Schizosaccharomyces pombe: one gene and its partners. The protein of the gene in region 3 interacts with the protein of the main gene of each other region in a biochemical or structural test. Each region holds a gene or a part of one and is shown on either strand. Other genes may lie near its edges.

The links.
Region 1: of the proteins of cdk9 (region 3) and pch1, one has a biochemical effect on the other in vitro, tested with the Schizosaccharomyces pombe proteins (one study listed by BioGRID).
Region 2: of the proteins of cdk9 (region 3) and spb1, one has a biochemical effect on the other in vitro, tested with the Schizosaccharomyces pombe proteins (one study listed by BioGRID).

What each region holds. Positions count from the first base shown.
Region 1 is NC_003423.3:2,791,863-2,798,039, reverse strand, and holds pch1 (P-TEFB-associated cyclin T Pch1), read right to left. Parts: upstream 3,220-6,177; 5' UTR 3,196-3,219; intron 3,131-3,195; 5' UTR 3,075-3,130; coding exon 2,896-3,074; intron 2,839-2,895; coding exon 2,294-2,838; exon of another isoform or gene 2,251-2,293; coding exon 1,946-2,250; 3' UTR 1,725-1,945; coding exon of another isoform or gene 702-1,724; 3' UTR 583-701; downstream 1-582. Other genes in the region: SPOM_SPBC32F12.07C (MARCH family ubiquitin-protein ligase E3), read left to right, coding at 702-1,724; protein Cwf12, read left to right, coding at 4,013-4,027, 4,089-4,221, 4,313-4,818; gamma-tubulin Gtb1, read right to left, coding at 4,898-4,964, 5,023-5,138, 5,189-5,653, 5,698-6,174.
Region 2 is NC_003424.3:919,085-925,715, reverse strand, and holds spb1 (rRNA methyltransferase Spb1), read right to left. Parts: upstream 3,436-6,631; 5' UTR 3,403-3,435; coding exon 3,333-3,402; exon of another isoform or gene 3,292-3,332; coding exon 3,198-3,291; exon of another isoform or gene 3,146-3,197; coding exon 2,969-3,145; exon of another isoform or gene 2,824-2,968; coding exon 756-2,823; 3' UTR 583-755; downstream 1-582. Other genes in the region: ubiquinone biosynthesis protein Coq4, read left to right, coding at 1-213, 270-504; protein mcp1, read right to left, coding at 3,706-4,947, 5,000-5,743; irs4 (ENTH/VHS domain protein), read right to left, coding at 6,485-6,631. UniProt on the Schizosaccharomyces pombe protein: Required for proper assembly of pre-ribosomal particles during the biogenesis of the 60S ribosomal subunit.
Region 3 is NC_003423.3:1,468,568-1,473,682, reverse strand, and holds cdk9 (P-TEFb-associated cyclin-dependent protein kinase Cdk9), read right to left. Parts: upstream 3,116-5,115; 5' UTR 3,004-3,115; coding exon 2,861-3,003; exon of another isoform or gene 2,810-2,860; coding exon 2,728-2,809; exon of another isoform or gene 2,608-2,727; coding exon 1,057-2,607; 3' UTR 501-1,056; downstream 1-500. Other genes in the region: DNA-binding forkhead transcription factor, meiotic Mei4, read right to left, coding at 1-489; wdr8 (WD repeat-containing protein), read right to left, coding at 3,596-4,608, 4,648-4,723, 4,796-5,115. UniProt on the Schizosaccharomyces pombe protein: Component of the positive transcription elongation factor b (P-TEFb) which consists of cdk9 and pch1, and which phosphorylates the C-terminal domain (CTD) of RNA polymerase II and spt5.

The DNA.
Region 1 (6,177 bases), 1.3 Mb from region 3:
GTCTTCATCCATGAATGTGCGTTCTCGGGTTAGCATGGCTACGACTTCTAACCCAAACTCACTTAGGACTCCTTCTTCATCTTTTGCAAGTCATCGCCAATCCGCAATTCCAAAATCGGCCACCTCCTCTGCTCCTACTATACCAACATCCAACTTGCCATCCGTAGCAAGTTCGATTCCTAATAATGGTCTCAATTCTTCAAATAGAAAAAGTATAATTTCTAAAACTTCCTCTAGACTTCGTCCACCTTCACGAGTCAGTAATGTGCCCTCCGTTCCTCAGCACCCCTCAACTCGTAGCAGGACAAGCACTCGTGAAACCACTCAACCACCTTTCACCACGAATCCGTCCAATCGCTCAAAACGAACTACTTTACGATAGTTTTAGGGATTTGAAGTTTATTCTAAAATCGTTTGCATTAAAAAAGCTACACAAGTAATTGTAAACAGCTTTTTTACTCATATCATTTAAATTATATTGTTCATTCCACACTTTCAACTTTACTTTCAATACCCAATCTTTTTAATTACTAAGGCTCCTAAACTTATGAGAAAGTACTGAACTATCTTTATGTTAGAATTTGTTCAGGAAAATGCCTATATTTTAAAACCTATTTTGTTTTGAAACATTGACGTTAAGCGTTTATTTTATTTATTCTAAATTTTCTTTTTTGTATTGGAAAACCCCGAGGTTCTGCTAAATGACGGACACCGCGAAGTATGAGAAAAGCAGTGCTCGCTGCTGGATATGCTATGAGGAATACGACAAAAAACTATGCTCCCTTTCAAATGATTCTTGGAGACGTCCGTGTCGGTGTTCACTCATTGCTCATGAAAGTTGTTTGATTTCTTACATTACCAGATCTGGCAGTACTCGTTGTCCTCAATGTCTTACCGCATATAGAATTGCTAAACCGCCAAAGGAAAAGTCTTGGGCTGTAAACGTTCTTGGAATCGGTCATTCCCTTGAAGCTGGTCTAGCTCAAGTAACGTTTGGTGTAGGTTCTTGTTTAGGTATTACCAAGTTTATTTATTCAATATTCAAACAGACTGGAATATGGATATGTAAACAGGTGGCAGATGAAAGCAGCCTGATAGAAATGTTAAAAAAGCCAGTTTTCTCCTCTGTCGTATTGCCTTTATTACCATGCATGTTGGTTCGGTTCTACGAAGCTCCGCCTTATGATATAGCATTTAGTCTCTACACGCATTTTTCAATTTATAGTTGCGCGGAAAAGATTTCGAATACCTCACTTCTACTGTGCACTCTGCCTTGGGTAAGATCTTTATATAAGGAACTAATGACCCGTATATTTGACGGTATTGTAATTGGAGCGGACGGGGAATTTGAAGATTCTGAAACTGATTGGTTTCGCCAGTTTGAAGCACAAGTAGAGCATCGTAACCAAGTCGAGGATGTAAACGAAAGAGAAGATACAGAATCTGAATTTTGGATTCTTTTGTCTGTGGCACACGTTTTCCTTGATGCTTTTACTACGAAAATTCTCCGTATTGTTCGACCGATTCTACTATTCCCATTAGCAGGGAAATTTTTGGGAAGGTTTATTCCAGGGAATTTCACAAAGTTAGAGAAGAGCATTATTGGTGCCTTTGCTGCATTAGTTTTTAAGGACATTTTTGTCTATGGTTTCATTGCTTGGAGAAAGAGAAAACCCTGGAGCATTCGAATTCTCGACAATCCTCGTAGAGTTTCTGACTCATAAGCAAACAATGAAGTTGTCAAACTGTTAAGTTCCGGCAATATTTCTTTCACGCATTTACTTTTTAAAAATACTCATGAACTTAATTTAAGCCTTTTATTACGAGCAATATTCTAAAACCGTGTTATCGATTTATTCGAATCCAAAAATAAATATAAAGATGCTGATAGCATTAATAATTTTTATAACTTATAAAATTTCCAATCTGGAATTATTTTTCTTTTTTATGAAGCTTCCGTCTCCATCTCTTTATCTGTATCAGATGATTTTTTTGGCTGGGCGGCTGTCGACAGTATTTGGTCGTCCACCGTACTTTTTGATGGGGTTTCTGTGTTTAGGGAATGAAATGAGTCAGTTCTTCCTGATGAATTTTGATGTTGAGGGGTAGCTTGTGTCGAGACGGAAGCCAATGACGACGGTGTCCCAGGAGCTACGCTGGAAGCATGAGATCCGTTTTTTTGGTCGATTGGAAGGGCTTGTTTGGAAGGGTTTATCTTTTTGTATAACGAGTCGATTAGTGTCAACACTCCTGCATTGTTAGTGCTAAGGCTATAAAAAAATATATAATATACCTTTAACGTCTTCATAAGAAACTTGAGACTCTTCCATCCATACCGGAAGCCCATCAGTCGTAGTAGAGAGATTTATTTCGTTCTTTTCTAATGCAAATTGGAATGCTGCAGCAGCTATAGTTTTCGGAGAGTAAAGTAGACATGCGATACTTCTAGTGCTATCGTTAATGTATGTCCAAGCAACCTTAGTGACATTTTTATCATCAGCCACGAATTTTTTGATAAAACTTAGGACGTAAGGATATGGATGTTCAACCGTAAAGTCAAAGCATAAAGCTTCTAACAGTACTTCCTCTGTGTACAAGATAACATCTCTCCACCGCCAGTATTCTTTGGTTTGCTCGTCAACCAAAACATTGCTGTTTTTTTGAGCAACCTTTGCACAGTTAATTACAATATCGCGAAGTTTACGAACGGAATCCTCAACCTTGGTTGCCAAGAAAATGCAAGTAGCAGCAACTTCATAATAATGATAATTTTTGAGTGAGAATCGAAGATAAAATCGATGGAAATAGATGTTAGCAGTAGCAAGCGCAGTTTGAGGTCTGTTATTATTGTTAGTTTCATTAATTTACTGAACTGATACATCGTAATTAACGTACAGTTTTAATCTCAGCCCGACATTTATAATGAAATTGCATCCTTTAGATCTTTGAATTTCTTCTTGATCTAAAGGTATCCCATCTAATGCAGATGGAGTAAATACCAACTGATCTTTACTTATTATCCACTGAGAAGTGTTTTGAGAGCCCGGGGGTACAGATTTTATTACTTCACTCATGTGAAATTCATCGATTTTATATATGAGATTACCGTCGCCAAATTATTAAAAACAAACTATAATTGAGCAAGAATAAGCAAAATCAAAGAACAGTAAATCATTTAGTATATAATTAACATACCTCAACTAAAGAATGCGAAGAATGGAGGGTGGTTACTATCTTTCAGGGGGAAATCTACCACAACGATGCTTGTCCATTTACGTTGATTGAATATAGTGATTATTAGAATAATTCGTAAGTCAGTTTTAACGATTTTGACGGTCTCAACGATTGTTTAATTTTAAGTCTTTGTAAGATATTCAAAAAATCAACTGTATACTTATAAATCGTTCTGCTAATCTCTTATAAACAACTCTTTTTTAGGTTAAAGCCGATACCAAAGAGATGAAATGAACTTTTCCAAATGATTGATGTTACCTACTTCATCAACAATTGCCTAATTCTTGACAGTATATTGAATACGATGGATTAAAAGTGGTAATCATTTTGAAAGGGACCATTTATGCAATAATATCATCCTTTAATTGTAGTGAACATAAAATACTTAGTTACTATTTAGACTAGTACTTTTTTTAGAAGAGGACTTCGTTATCCATGAATTAAGAAGCTTGTTGCGCTTCAATAAGCTTATTCACTTTGGCTGTTCTTTTCCGTTTTATAAAGTGTTTCTTACACGAAATAACTACTTGTATGCATTCAATTTCTTGCTTATAAGTTTTTTGCTTGTCTTCACAATCGGTGGAACTTGAGCAAATTTTCAAGTACTTAAATAAGAATTGGCTGTTGAAGGTCAATTAATTAAGTGTTGGGTTTGCCTTGATTTCGATAAATACCATAAAACTTGTCTATATTATTTATTTTCTGTGTCAAATTTTAATGAGCCTTTCCTTCTCTATTTTTTTAATTACCAAGTCTATCATTTTCATTTAATTTTACAATGTCATCAGCGAAAGTAAGGTTCATACGAATATGCATGAGAACCTAAGCGTCAGTCACTAACCCCTTTGTTATAGTATGTAGTGGGCAGCAAACCAACGGAAAAGAGACCCAAGGATATAAAAAGCATTAAGTCTGTGCCGATATGTGAAAAACATAGGGCTAGTGTAGTAAAAGATATCTCTCGCAAGATCTCTCGAATTCAAAGTGGTACGTCCTAGATTGTTTTATTAGCAAATTTAATTAACTTGCTAAACTTGATTCCGCTTTTATCATTTCTGTGTATTCTAACCATGAATAGCAACGTTGCCTGAATATCAAATTCGAGATTTGAACGATGCAATTAATCGATTGATGCGTGAAAAACACGAATGGGAGGTACAAATTCGTGATCTGGGTGGGATTAATTATCTGTATAATAAAGCAAAGCTATTTGAGGATGAAGGAGAACAAATCAGTGATATAGACGATTATCGTTATTACGGAAGAGCTCGAGAGTTACCTGGCGTTAAGGAACTTTTTGAAGCTGATATGAGTTTTATACCGGAAAGACAGCGCAAACAGGAGATGCAGAAAAGAAGGTTAGACGCCTGGTACTTTGGTTACATACCGCCAGCACAAGAGAGTCTATTAGAAGATTTTGAGGCAAAGATTGAAGAACAACAACATAAACATCTTGAGAACCTTGGTGATGAAGTTGAACAAGATTGGAAACCTCTTGTCATTGAGCAAATACCAACTAGAGACGATGTTGAAGCCATTCTTTTAGAAAGGCGTAAAAATGCTTTGCTGAGCAGAATTTCATAGATTATGAAGTAGGACTAGGATAGGAGAATTAATTTTATATTTTAAGTCTGCTTTGACATCGTAAACTATGAAGGATTTTTTAAAGAGATAAATAATTGGGATCTTCACAAGCTTCGTATTCATTGATCAAGTCGGCAACGACGTCGCTGTCAAATACATTAGTAAATTAACTCAAAATATGAAATTATAAGACAAGATACTTACCGAGAAGAATCGAATTCGTTAAGATCATCTTCGAAAATAGCCTCCTTTTTATATTGCTCTAAAAAGGCATTTCGTTTCCGCAAACGATCATATTGATCTAGTGTTCTCTTGAATAACTACAAAGATTAGTATTAAATGTCTCAAAAAAAAATTTGCAGAAACATACAGAGGCAATACTAGTGTGATTTGCAAGCATAAGTCCACTAACACGGTGGTTCGTTTTTATATAGGGCGACTTTTTAGAAAGTGCAACTTGTATACTTGCTGGTCCCCAAGGAATGAATGAAGCGTATCGTCGTTCTCTTATGCGAAGCAAGGATTTGTGAACGTCCGCCGGATCTGCTTCTCCTTGAATGATATCCAAAATACTAATAAAGCAACTCTTTTTGCTAGGATTGACGGAAACCATCTGGTTTTTAGGCAACAACAACCTTCTCATCACATCAAGCACGGTAGTTTTCCGAATGGCCTTTGCTTCTTCCACTTGCTGATTGGTAAAAGGAGTGTATGAGGTTAGTAAAAAGTGACAGCGAGGACTTGGAATTAATGAAGCTATTATACTGACAAGATCGTTGTTCATGTAGCCAGGATATCTTAAAGTTGTTGTACTGGCAGACATAACAGTTGAAACCTAGAATAGTTAGTTGATGAAAAGACCTAATATAAATCAATTACCAATTGGTTTTGTTGATGAAACGTAGGGTTCTGAGTATGTAACCGATCAGCAGCAATATGAGCAAGTGCTGCATTGTCCAACACAACAACAGAATCAGCATTCAATGTCAGTCGCTTCAATGCAAGAAGACTGTTGTAAGGCTGAACCACAACATCTGATACGGATTGACTATTAGGGAATACTGAATAAGTTTGGATAATCTTCTTGGGATAACGATCGTTTAATCTCTCAAGCAAGAAAGAGCCCAGCCCAGAACCCGTTCCACCAGCGATAGAATGTAAAAGCGAGAAACCCTCTAGAGAATCACTTCCATCAGCTTCACGATCTATCATGTCCATTATATCTTCAAAAATCCTCTCAGCATGCGAATAACCATTAGCCCAATTATTGCCAGCACCTCCTCCATTTTTGGTAATAAGTATATTTTCGGGATTATAAAGGCTGCCGTAGGTGTCGCTTAGAATATTGTTGACCACCTA
Region 2 (6,631 bases), on a different chromosome or scaffold from region 3:
ATTTTTGCGGACCCTTCCGCCAAATACCCTAGGTAAAATTTATGTTGACTGGATAGACAAAGAGCATGTTGGACCCGATACTCGAAGCCCTACCCGTTTTGTAGATGACCCAGAGGAGGCATATGTTATGCAAAGATATCGTGAATCTCACGATTTTTACCATGCTATATGTAACATGCCTACAAACATTGAAGGAGAATTAGCTATTAAATGGTATAGATATACTTTACTTTATTTCTAACTTCATGGTTTGTATACTAACAATTTAGGCTGGAATTTGTTAACATGGGTTTACCAGTTGGAGCTCTCTCTGCTTTATTTGGTCCTCTACGCTTAAATTGTGAACAGGCTTCAAGGTTTCGTCGGGTATACATTCCATGGTCGATTCGTAATGGTTTGAATGCAAAAACATTGATCAATGTCTATTGGGAAAAGGAACTGACGAACGACATTGAGGACGTCCGTAGACGAATACGAATTGAGGCTGCTCCTCCGCTGGTTTAGACCTGTAATTCAAATTTCTTCCATTTACTCAATCGAAATATTCGAAAAGAACTGCATATAAATAGTTAATTAATAATGTTTATATATGTAGCAGTTTAACTCTTGCAAAACATATCCATGCTGTTACTCCCAAATCTAATACTAAATAAGAATACTATTAATCCACTAAAACCCAAACTCTAACCTAGATATAATTATTTTAAGCCTAAATTCCACGAAAAACTGTTAATGAAATTAAACAGTCAAGTATTTTAACGACGACCCTTTTTAGCTAGTCTTTTTTGTGCGCGCAAATCCTTTTTCATTCGACTGTCAACCATTTTATACTTTCCTTTAACACCCTTAGGACGAGATTTAAGGCCTTTATTAGGACCCTTTGCAACAACTAACGTAGGCTTTGCTTTAGGCTTCGATTTAGTAGCACGGCTTACGAGTCGCGATATTTCTTTAGCTTTTTCACTTTCAGTCATATCACCGCTTTCTGAAATTCCTTCAGCTTTTTTAGCGACACGTTGCAGACGCTTAATAGTACGCATCTTTTTACGACCTTGTGCCTCAAGAACTTTTTTGATAGGACGAGCATTAAGAGCCTTCATTTTTTCCCGCAAAGCCAAAACGGCTTCTTTGGTGATTGGCTTGTTGGGTTTATTGACGGTTGTTTCTTCATCCAAAAACCAATCTGGAAGACCTTCTTTAGATTGAAACGACCATCGATTATAACCTTCATCAATCAAATCAGCCTTAGACTTTCTCCTAGAAGCAATATCCTGAGCTAGTGTCATTGCCTCGGCAGTAACAATTTCAACGTTGTTTTCATCATTATCAGAATCAGAATTCCAATCATCATCTTCATCATGAGCTGAAGCAACTGGAACGACTTCAATATGATCATTGCTGTCCTCACTTTGGTCTCCCTTGCTTCCATCGTCATTATTTTGAGAAGCAAGTTCAGCTTCACGTTTCTTTATAGCAGCGCGGTTCATAGACATGATTTCCACATCAGCATCGGCATCTTCAATACCATCAAAAATGTCCTGGTCAAAAAACATACGTGCTTTTCTACTAAGCCCATCCTTAGTCGAACCTTTGTCTAACAAAGACGTTGTCAGTCTGTCTTTATCAGGAGTAGCAAAGTTCGTCTCAGCAATCTGAGAATCATCGCTTTCGGTGCCATTATCTATACCGTTCCATTCTTCATCATCAAGATCGCCACGCGCTTTTTTAACGCGATATTTCACATCAGATTCAGCCTTGCGTTTAGTATAATCAGAATACATTGAATCCAAGTCAGCCTCTAAGCGATCGCGCTCATCGTCACTATCGTATTCGACTTCATTGTCCGTAGAAACTTCTTCGTCAACAGATTCAGTTACGGGAAGCGTTCCATTTTCCAATTCTTTTAAACCATGCTTTTCAGCGGTTGCTAGACCAAACAAACTGTCTTCGCCCATGGCTTCATGTTCCAAGCCAATATCCATTGGGGCCAACATTCCCATTTGCATACGAACAATTTCACGCTGTTTACGCTGATTCGCTTTCCGACGCTCACGTTTGAGTTTAACACGTTCGGCTTCACTCAAATCTTGTAATTCTTGATCCAGTCTCTCTTCTTCATCCATTTCAGGAATCTCCTCAACCACTGTTTTTTGCTCATCCTCTACCTTTTTACCTATACCCATCTCATCTCTTATTTTCAGTCGCCATCTCAAAATATCGCGGAATTCTTTTTTACCTAATACTTGTAAATCTGAGCAACACAAAAGAATTTCTTCAGTAGTGACGTCTAAATTGTATAAGCGTTGACATTCCTCATCATCTTTTGGGAATACAATTTCAGCGGATGTACCAAGGATTTGAATGGGATCATTTGCGGTAACAAATTCCGATGCCAAGACAGTTTTGTGTAATGTGTAATCATCGTCAGCGTAACCCTCACGACTACGTTTTCTTTTTTCAGGATGGAACACTTTTGCATCAACGTTTGTAACTGGCTCTTGGACTTCTTCGAAAACGGTACGAGGATCTGTAAAGCGAGGATCTAACTTTTTTGGTGCTTTGTACCCACGACATACGACAAAAATTTCTGCAGAGACGTTACGAGAAGATGGAGGTTTAGTAGCCTCAACTTTATTAAAAAGTTGTTTGAATACCCATAAAAGATTATTATAATCCCTTGAACGAAAAACTTTTGTAACAAATGTACCACCAGCAACCAAAAATTCACATGCTAATTTCATTGACATTAGCACCAACTGAGCTTGTCCATAGGCGTCCTGCAACCATGCAGAACCAACATTTGGTGCACCATCATGAAGAACACTGCTCAATGCATTAATAAAAATTCGACAAAAACCAATATGGGCAACAAATATTCTAATCAGTTCAATCAAATTTCTAAGATTGCAAGTGAAACAAGAATAGTTGCACCCGTTTAACCGCTTCCTGCAGCATATCAATTACTTACACATCAGCTTTCCAAGTTTTCAAATATCCACGCAATTGCGATCTGCATTTATCACTTGTAATATCCTCAACAAACGTATGGCAATTAGGAATGGGTTTAATAGGAGCAAGATCAACACCAACGATTAATGAGCCAGGTTTGCATGTTTTAGAAGCAACCTGTAACCAACCACCTGGACTGTTTTGACGGTCAGTGTAAAAGGATTTTGAATAATAACTATACAACTTACGCAGCACAAAGATCAATGATGACTTTAGCTTTTTCAAGGAAACTATATTTCTGATTCAATTGCACTAATTTAAAAGCAGCACGAGAACGATACCCTAAACGTTAAAAAGTGTTCATTGTAGCTATTAATAAATACCTTGTTCTTTGGCAAGCTTATACCATTTATCCAAACGGCCTTTGGCCGTCTTTTTTTGTGATTTACCCATGTGGTTTTATCGGTGCAAAAATTGGTGAAAGGCAAAAGGCAACTGGCAAATAGCGTACAGTACACTACAACATAGACTAAAGAAAAGATACTGTCAAAGCACTTAAAATTAAAAATCTTGTTTATTTTTGAATAAGATAAAAAAATATTAAACAGTATGAAATAAGATTGGAGAAAATTGCTTTTGAATATGTTAATACTACAATATTTTAATGCTCAGTTAAAAAAATTACGAATTATTTCATTATATTCATACATTAATAGTAAGTATATTAAAAAATATTGTAGAGTAACGAGAGACAAATTATAGAAAAGTAGGTAGTTTAGAACCTTCATCAGACGAAAAGTGTAGCCCATTTAAATTGTTTTTTAACTTCTTTGAGATATCACTACTGGAAAGTGAAAAAGAAGATAGTTGTTTACATAAACTTTGATCTTCACTTGCAGAGGAAGATTCACTACACGTTTCCCAATCATGGTTTTCCAAAAACCTGTCAACCTTTTCCACATTAGACTGAGTCGGTGTATCATCAAGTGAATTAGTAAATTCACCTTTGGGAGGAGTACGTGATAACAATGGCTCTATCATTTGACGAAGCGACACAGAAGCAGGAGTCGTCGAACTTCCAGTAAGCTTGACAGAGTTATGAGGTGTGTCGTGCTGCGAAGGAAGTATCTCCTTTATATCAGTGACCGGAATCGACGAAGATGAAGCATCGGGAGACAAACACGGCTCTCTGGGACCATGCCGAGAGCCTTTCCTCCTAGGGGAAAGTGTATTACTTTTAGAATGATTCTTGAATAAGCAACCACTAGATGTTTCCCTTACTAATCTCTTACTTTTCGAAACACTTCGAGTATCAGGACTTTGGTTAACCATTCTATCAATTAACGGCTCTTCATGAGAGGCTAGCCTAAGAGGAAAACGAATGCTTTTTTTGCTTTGGACATCAATGTTTCTTAACTTTTTATTTTCGATCTTACCTGTGGTTTTCCGCGCAGGTGGCGATGACTCTGGTGAAGATTTGCTATTGTCATTAGAGGAAATATTCTCTTGATTCTGCAAAATTGGTGGAGAATGTATCATTAATAATCTTGAAGACAATGGTTTTCCAAAGACATAAATTTTCTTTTCGTTATCCTCCTCCCACTCCCTTAATGCGCATATTAATTTAGCTTTCAGTAATTGAAAATCCTTTTGCAAGCGCTTTAAAGTGAAAGGCTGCGAAGCTGATCCAGACAATACCTTCATTCTTTGAGATTCTTTATAAACCCTAGACTCTAAGAGAAGATACCGCCTAATCATGTTGTTCAATTCCCCTTGAAGATGGAGATCAACTTCTAGGTTCCCAATTTCTTGTTTCATACTTTGAATTAATTCTCGATTAACGTTAGGTATTTCTTTAAATTGAGATGTAAACAACATTTCTTTTTTAGAAACGAACATTATGCGAGCCAGTGAAAGGTACCTTTTTTGTAAAAACTCGTATTCAGTTTTATACTTAACAAAGTACACTTTTCGCATGGACGAAAGTTCATTTTCCCACTATATTGTTAGTTTGAAAATAATTATTTTAATAAAAATATCAAATTCTTACCAAAGTCAAGGTTTTATCACTATAGTTGGTCGGTAACTCAGAAGTCGGGTTTTTACCACACATATTTTTCATTTCGTTGACAATTTCATCGACCCGGGACTTCCTGCTTTCTAAAGAAAATCTGAGCTTCTCCTTGTAAATTATCAAATGCTTTATTCCGTTTTTGGACAAATCATCAGCGGGCATGCTAAGTTTTATAGACAAAGAATCCTGCAGTTTTTTTAATTCCTCTTTAATTTCAATGTTTTTTTCTTTCCTAAGTCTGTATATCTGATGAAGTTCATTTAATTTTGCTGACAACTGCTCAAGCTTTATATCCGATATGTCCTCAAAATCACCGTTCACAAAATTCACCTCATCAACTGATTCACCAAGGATTACAGATAACCTTTCAATTTCTTTGTACATATTTTTTGCTTCATTTTTCTTCGTGTTATAGATTGCTCGAATACCATTATGGTAAGTTACCAGGCATTCATATTGGTCAATTAGAGTGCGCGGTATTTCGATTTCTTCGATGATGCCCAGTCTTTTTCTTAAAAGAGATATCTCAGAAGATAATTCATTGCATTTTGACTCAATATTTATAATTTTGATCTCCAATTTTCTTTGGTGTCCTGACAAAGCGTCCAAGATGATATTGTTAAAACTGATCTTTGTAAACGAATACCCAAGTTTTTCGGAAAGTGTATAAATATTATTGTAATAATTGTTAAGCCTGTCTCCAATTTTAGCTAACTCCATAATATCTTATGATTTTAACATTAAAAACAGAAGTTCGGCATCATGGCCTTGGAGAACTTGGTTTATTTACCTCTAAACTTAAGGATCGAAAGTGAGTCACAACACATTATGGATTGGGACAAGTTCATACTAGCAAGATTGTTTAATAAAGAAGTCATGTCTTTTTAAAAAAAAAATCTACATCGAACAGTATTTTGGCTAGTTTTAATTGCTAAACCTTTGTGTTGGCTTATTATAGTTAAAAAATGCTAATTAAAGGATATAAATAATACTTGAAAAATTTTATAACAAACAAGCAAATGGTATCCAAGGAATTCGTTAAGCGTAAATCTAACCTATGCTTCAGTAATTAATCAAGTAATAAAAAGGGTAATGCATAAAAAAATGTAAAAATGAATAATAAAAGTTTTGCAAAATGAAAAGTTATGATGTAAAAATAAAGTCCTTCTTTTCGCTTAAAAAGGTCGCTTCGGTTGTGAAATATCTGCAAATTGAGTAAAACAATCGACAGCTTAAATAGATCAGAAAGTACTATCATTAACGATTAACAAAAGCAAACTAACAACTGATTGAAAACGTGGTTCGCAAAAATAGCGAAAGCTTTACGAAAACAGGTTCACAACGGAGTGTTTCAAATGAAAAGACCTTAATGAAGTAATACCGAAATGCCATTTTTTAATAAATGTTGATAAGCTTAAAGATATTTCCCGTTAAAAAAAAGAGGACCCGATGTTGATTTCTCTAGTCAGTCATCGCGCCCTCGTTCACCTTTGCTGTTGTATTAAAGTCGAAAAACTTTTTCAAATGTTTTCTCTTTTTCTTCTTTTTTTTGAAGAAAGGTTTTTTATTATCTGTCTTTTTCTGCAGTTTTTCTAATCGCCAAAGCAT
Region 3 (5,115 bases):
CTGCATATGGTCAGGATCAATTGTCCAATAATGACCTTTTAAAGTTTTACCCTTGGGTTTTTCTACTTTGATAAAGGCTTTGTTTAATGAAAGGTTGTGCCTAATGCTATTTTGCCAACCACCATCATGGTTGAGGTAGTAGCGAAACGTGTTGCGAATCCACGTATAAATCCCGCTTAAAGTCAGTTGCTTGTTATGTGATTGTAGGATCGCCAAACCGATTAATGTAGCATAAGAACACGGTGGTTTTTCACCAGTATCCACAAAGCCCGCCATTTCATCTCCAAATATCATTTGTCGTATACTGTCACTACTCAGGTTTTCTTTATTCTCTTCACGAAGCAATGCTTCAGTTTCGCATTTTTCTTTAGAAGACACATTGGAAACATTTTGAGAATCATTAATTTTTGAAGATTCCTTTAATGAAAGGCTAAGTATGACCTTTTTGGGTTTACCATGTGCTTCGACATTCCCTTGATTTTCAACCATTTGAACAATTTAATAATTTTTAGAGTACTGATTATTATATTTATTAGGTAATTATTAATGGTATTTGTGTTATTTTGACTCTGTTTTTGGATGACGGGTTTTGTAGTAGGTAGGTGGGAGAGGGCTGGTCAAGCCGTATACAAACAAGAGGTATTTAACCGAGGTCAAAACATGGGTATGGGAAGGGAAGAAAATACCGTAAATATGTAAACACAAGCAAGGAAAAAAGCAGTTTTGTTGAAAATAAAGTAATTTTCTTTCCAATACATTACTTACAAGTCATGTTTTAAGATTATAAATTTAGTAAATAAATAATACAAATAAAAATCTCCGTGCTCAATTTGCTAAGGTCAAGCTTTTAAAGAAAAAAGAAATATAATTAATTTTCTTTGCTTTTTCCTTTTTGTTTTAAATTTTATTTTGAGCTAGAAAACCAACTTTGGCCTTTAATGAACAGTCGCCATCACGCGGAAAGGCCATTAAAAATATTATGGGATGCTCAGCAAATTAAGTTAATTTAAGATATGAAGAGAAAGCCAAAAAGTAAAAAGAGCACATTCGTATGGATCATTTAGGAGTGTCATCAACGTTGGAATTTTCATGAAAAGAGGGTGACTTCAGATCAGATGTGGATTGTTGGTGCAAGCTAGTAGAAGATGGATGTTGCTCGTTGGTCTTTTGGTTGGCAGATTGTCTAGCAATTGAGTATTCAGGAACATATGAGTCAATGTACTTAATATTGTGTTGTGTTTTGTTGGTATCCGCATTTTCGCTTGCTCGAGATGTCGTTTGTACTTTGCTATTATTCTGGTATCTGGAGGACACATTCCATGCTGGTTGTTGAGACTGGGAAGATTGTCTTCCTTGACGGCCGTAATCCGAGGGGTTTCTTAATCGTTGAGATCGGTCTTGTTCAGGCCGGTAGTAGCGTTGACCGTCTGCATGAGAATGATTAGAAGTTTGATTCATAGCGTTAGTTTCAGAAAATTCGGAATTTTTCTGTGGCAAATCAGACGTTAAAGGTTTAAAATTTTGCTGACGCTTAGGCTGATAATTAACATTACGACTTCTATCCATGTTACCGCCTTCACGATTGTACGAACCACGTTGGTATTGCGGTTGTGAGTTATAATTTGGCCGACGAATTCCATACCACGGATCGCTAGGTCCACGAGTCATGAACCGGAACTGTCTCTTACCATTAGCGGTTTGTTCAAACGCATGTGAATTAGCATCTCTCTGTTCTCTTTTCCTTCTTTTGTCGTACTCATGAGAAGCACTGTAGCTCTGTAGTTCAGAAGGGTTTGCTGGATATGGTGGTGTTGTAAAATATTCATGCTCTAAAGCCATTGAAGCAGATAAACGTTCATCCGGATTAAGGGTCAAAATAGCACCGCAAAGAGAAGTCATTTCCTTTCCGAAAGTAAAAAATGCAGTTTCAAGTGTTCTAGGGTGTGAAGGAAAAGAGCGAACGCCTTCGCACCCAGGAAGCTTTTCCCAATTTGGCATAGTAGCTTGAGTTGGTGATCCACAAAGGCGAAAGATTTTATCCAATTGGTCCAAATCACTACTTCCTTGAAGGATTGGCCTTCCTTTATACATTTCGGCCATGATGCATCCCACGCTCCACATATCAATAGCGGTAGTGTAACGACGCTCGCCAAGCAAAAGTTCTGGTGATCTATACCAGCGTGTAACCACACATCCAGTGTATTCTCTACGATTAGGTGGAGGCAAGCCAGGATTTTTGTTTGCATATGACTCCTCCGTTATCACACGTGCGAGACCAAAATCGGCAATTTTTAAAATCCCGTGATTATCAATCAATAAATTAGCAGCTTTAAGATCTCTATGAAGGATAAGCTGATCATGTAAGTATTTGGTTCCAGCAAACAATTGCTTCATATAGCATTTAATTTGCGGCTCCGTGAATTTTACACTTGGATTTTCTAATAAACCTGAAAGGTCATGATCCATATAAGGAGTCACCATATATATAGAACCACGACGTCGATGCTTCTTGTCTGCACGAACAACAGTCATATCAGATAATGGAATAATATTCTCGTGTTTAATCGATTTTAAAATTTTTATTTCGCGAATGGCTGTAATGGGAAACTAAAATGTAATGCTTTAGTATTTATTCATGAATTAATTAAAACAATTAACGCAATCAAGTCGATGCGTCCCAAGTCATTCTGTCAAAATGAACAAGAATCTAAACAAACATCTACTTACACCTTCCTTTTCAGTATGCATGAGTATTCTTTTCAGCGCATATACCTTCCCGTCCTTACGCCGCTGCGATTTGTAAACTTCGCTGGTGAACCAAGTTAGTGATAAAATTCAAAATCAGATATTTGACACATACCCAAATGTTCCTTCTCCTAATTTTTCCATTAAATGATAATCCGTTAAATGGCTGCACCCTACAAAATGAAGTTTGGGTACGACATCTAATTTTCTCCTTGCTGATTTCTCATCTTCGACAGAAACGCTGCTTGAGCGTTTCATTTTTTTAACTTATATTATACAAAAGATCCCAACGATTAGTGAATAAAGTTAATTATACAAATTGTAGTATAAACCCGATCGATGCGCGAAATGTTGCATCTGATGAGGATATAGTGGAAGTGGACCCAACTATCAACTATATGCATTAAATACGGAGGCGAAGTAAAATGCGCTATGTTTCAAAATGAGAAAACAATACTGTAAGTATAGAGAATAAACAATGCTTTTTATAAAGGGAAAAAGTTGCATTAGTTTTAAATATCTTTCAAAGGACTCCCTAATCTCAAATAAATGCGCAAAGTTTACAATTTATGAATCAGGAAAGAGTAGTTATTAAAACTCAGGAATAGTACGTACTAAATTTAGAAAAAGATAGTTGAATAGACTGAAAAAGACATTCAAACTATAAGAGGTATGCAAAGGCCTTAAGCTGACGGGGTGCTCAGGGTGCTCATGTTTTACATGCGGGAACAATGAACGTGCATTAAAATATTATAGACATTAAGCGAATTAATTAGGTCGTTAGTAAAATAAAAAGAATATTTAAAAATGGTTACAATAATTAAGACTTTTAAGATAGAAAGTAAATCCCTTAAGATGGTATGGAAATCGTTTGCGTTGTTTCTAACTCATTATCTAAAACTTCTTGAGAAATTATAGTTTGAGTAACTTCGGTAAATGATTCATCTTCATCTTCCACAATGTAAGCAACGGTATATGCATCTTCACCACAAATTACTATAACTGGACGAGAACTGAATTCTGATGGTTGAAGCCATTGAACCTTCTGAATATTAAAACCTTTTTTTGGAACTCCAACGACCCTGGGTGTATTCCAACTTAAAGCCCAGAAGTATAGGAATGTAGCATTAGACGGAATTTTGGATTCTTTCCTAATTTTTGTTTGAATGACCACCAAATCGGGACGACCTGGATGCCATTCAAAATACACTATATGATGTTTTTGAATAAGAACAGTGTGCAGTTTTTTATTCTGTAAATTCCATAGCCAAAGAACATTAGGATATTTAGAAGTAATTGTAGCAGCATACGTCTCATCACAGTTGAAACGTATTTTTGATGCTGAACAAAAGGAGGGTTCTGGGAAATCGGTTCTGAGTTTATGTACTTTTTGATAAGTCATTTGTTGCTCATAGATTGTTTCCTTCTCTTCCCATATATGCATTTCCAAGTCAGTATTGGTATATTGCAAACAATGGTGAAGTCGAAAAACTATACTAAAAGTTTTTGTTTCAAGTAGATGTAAGGTTGAATCATGGTAACTGCACAAAGTTAGATATTTGCCAAAGGGACTCCACTCAAAATCGGAAAAGCCGACTTCAATTAACCTATTTGGTCGATATTCGTGAAAAAGAAGACCGGTGCGATGATAAATATAAACAACTGCATCTAATACGTTTTCCAAAACAGCTAACCAGTTTCCATCTGGCGACCAATGGATACCCGTCGAATCTATTGTAGGAAGCTTACACTCTTTAAGAAGTATCCATGCCTTTTTGCTGATTTGGTAAAATTGAAGGCAATCCGAACCGTTAAAACGAGATAATATAGTACAGAATTGCATGGATGGATGTAAAGCGTAAACTAAACAGTCAGTAAATTGATATATCAGACAAGAAATACCTTTCGAAACATTGGTTTTTACATGTGGAAGCAAATAACCTTTCTGGGTATTTAAAGACCACACAGTAATCTTCGACTAAAAAATTTGCTATTAGCATCGCAGATATATAAGCAAAAAGTTGTGCAAATTTTATTAGATACAACGTACATCAAAGGACGACCAGAGAAGCAGTTCTCCAGACGGGCTCCAGCTGATACTACTCAAAGGATCCTGGTCGCACTGTATGCTAGCATAATAATCGTGTTGTACAATATCTAATACAAACACTTTATCAACTGAGGCAACACAAATTTGATGGCATTTTTCTGCTCCTAAATTGGGTTTCCATAACAAGTATACAACCTTTTGAATGAATTGAGCGTTTAGAAGGAACACATGGTGAAGCTCGAGGGTTTCAGAATTTCGAATTAAGACATGCCCAGAGCGAGATAAAGACGCAATCCAATTACCACAATGTGAAACACTTG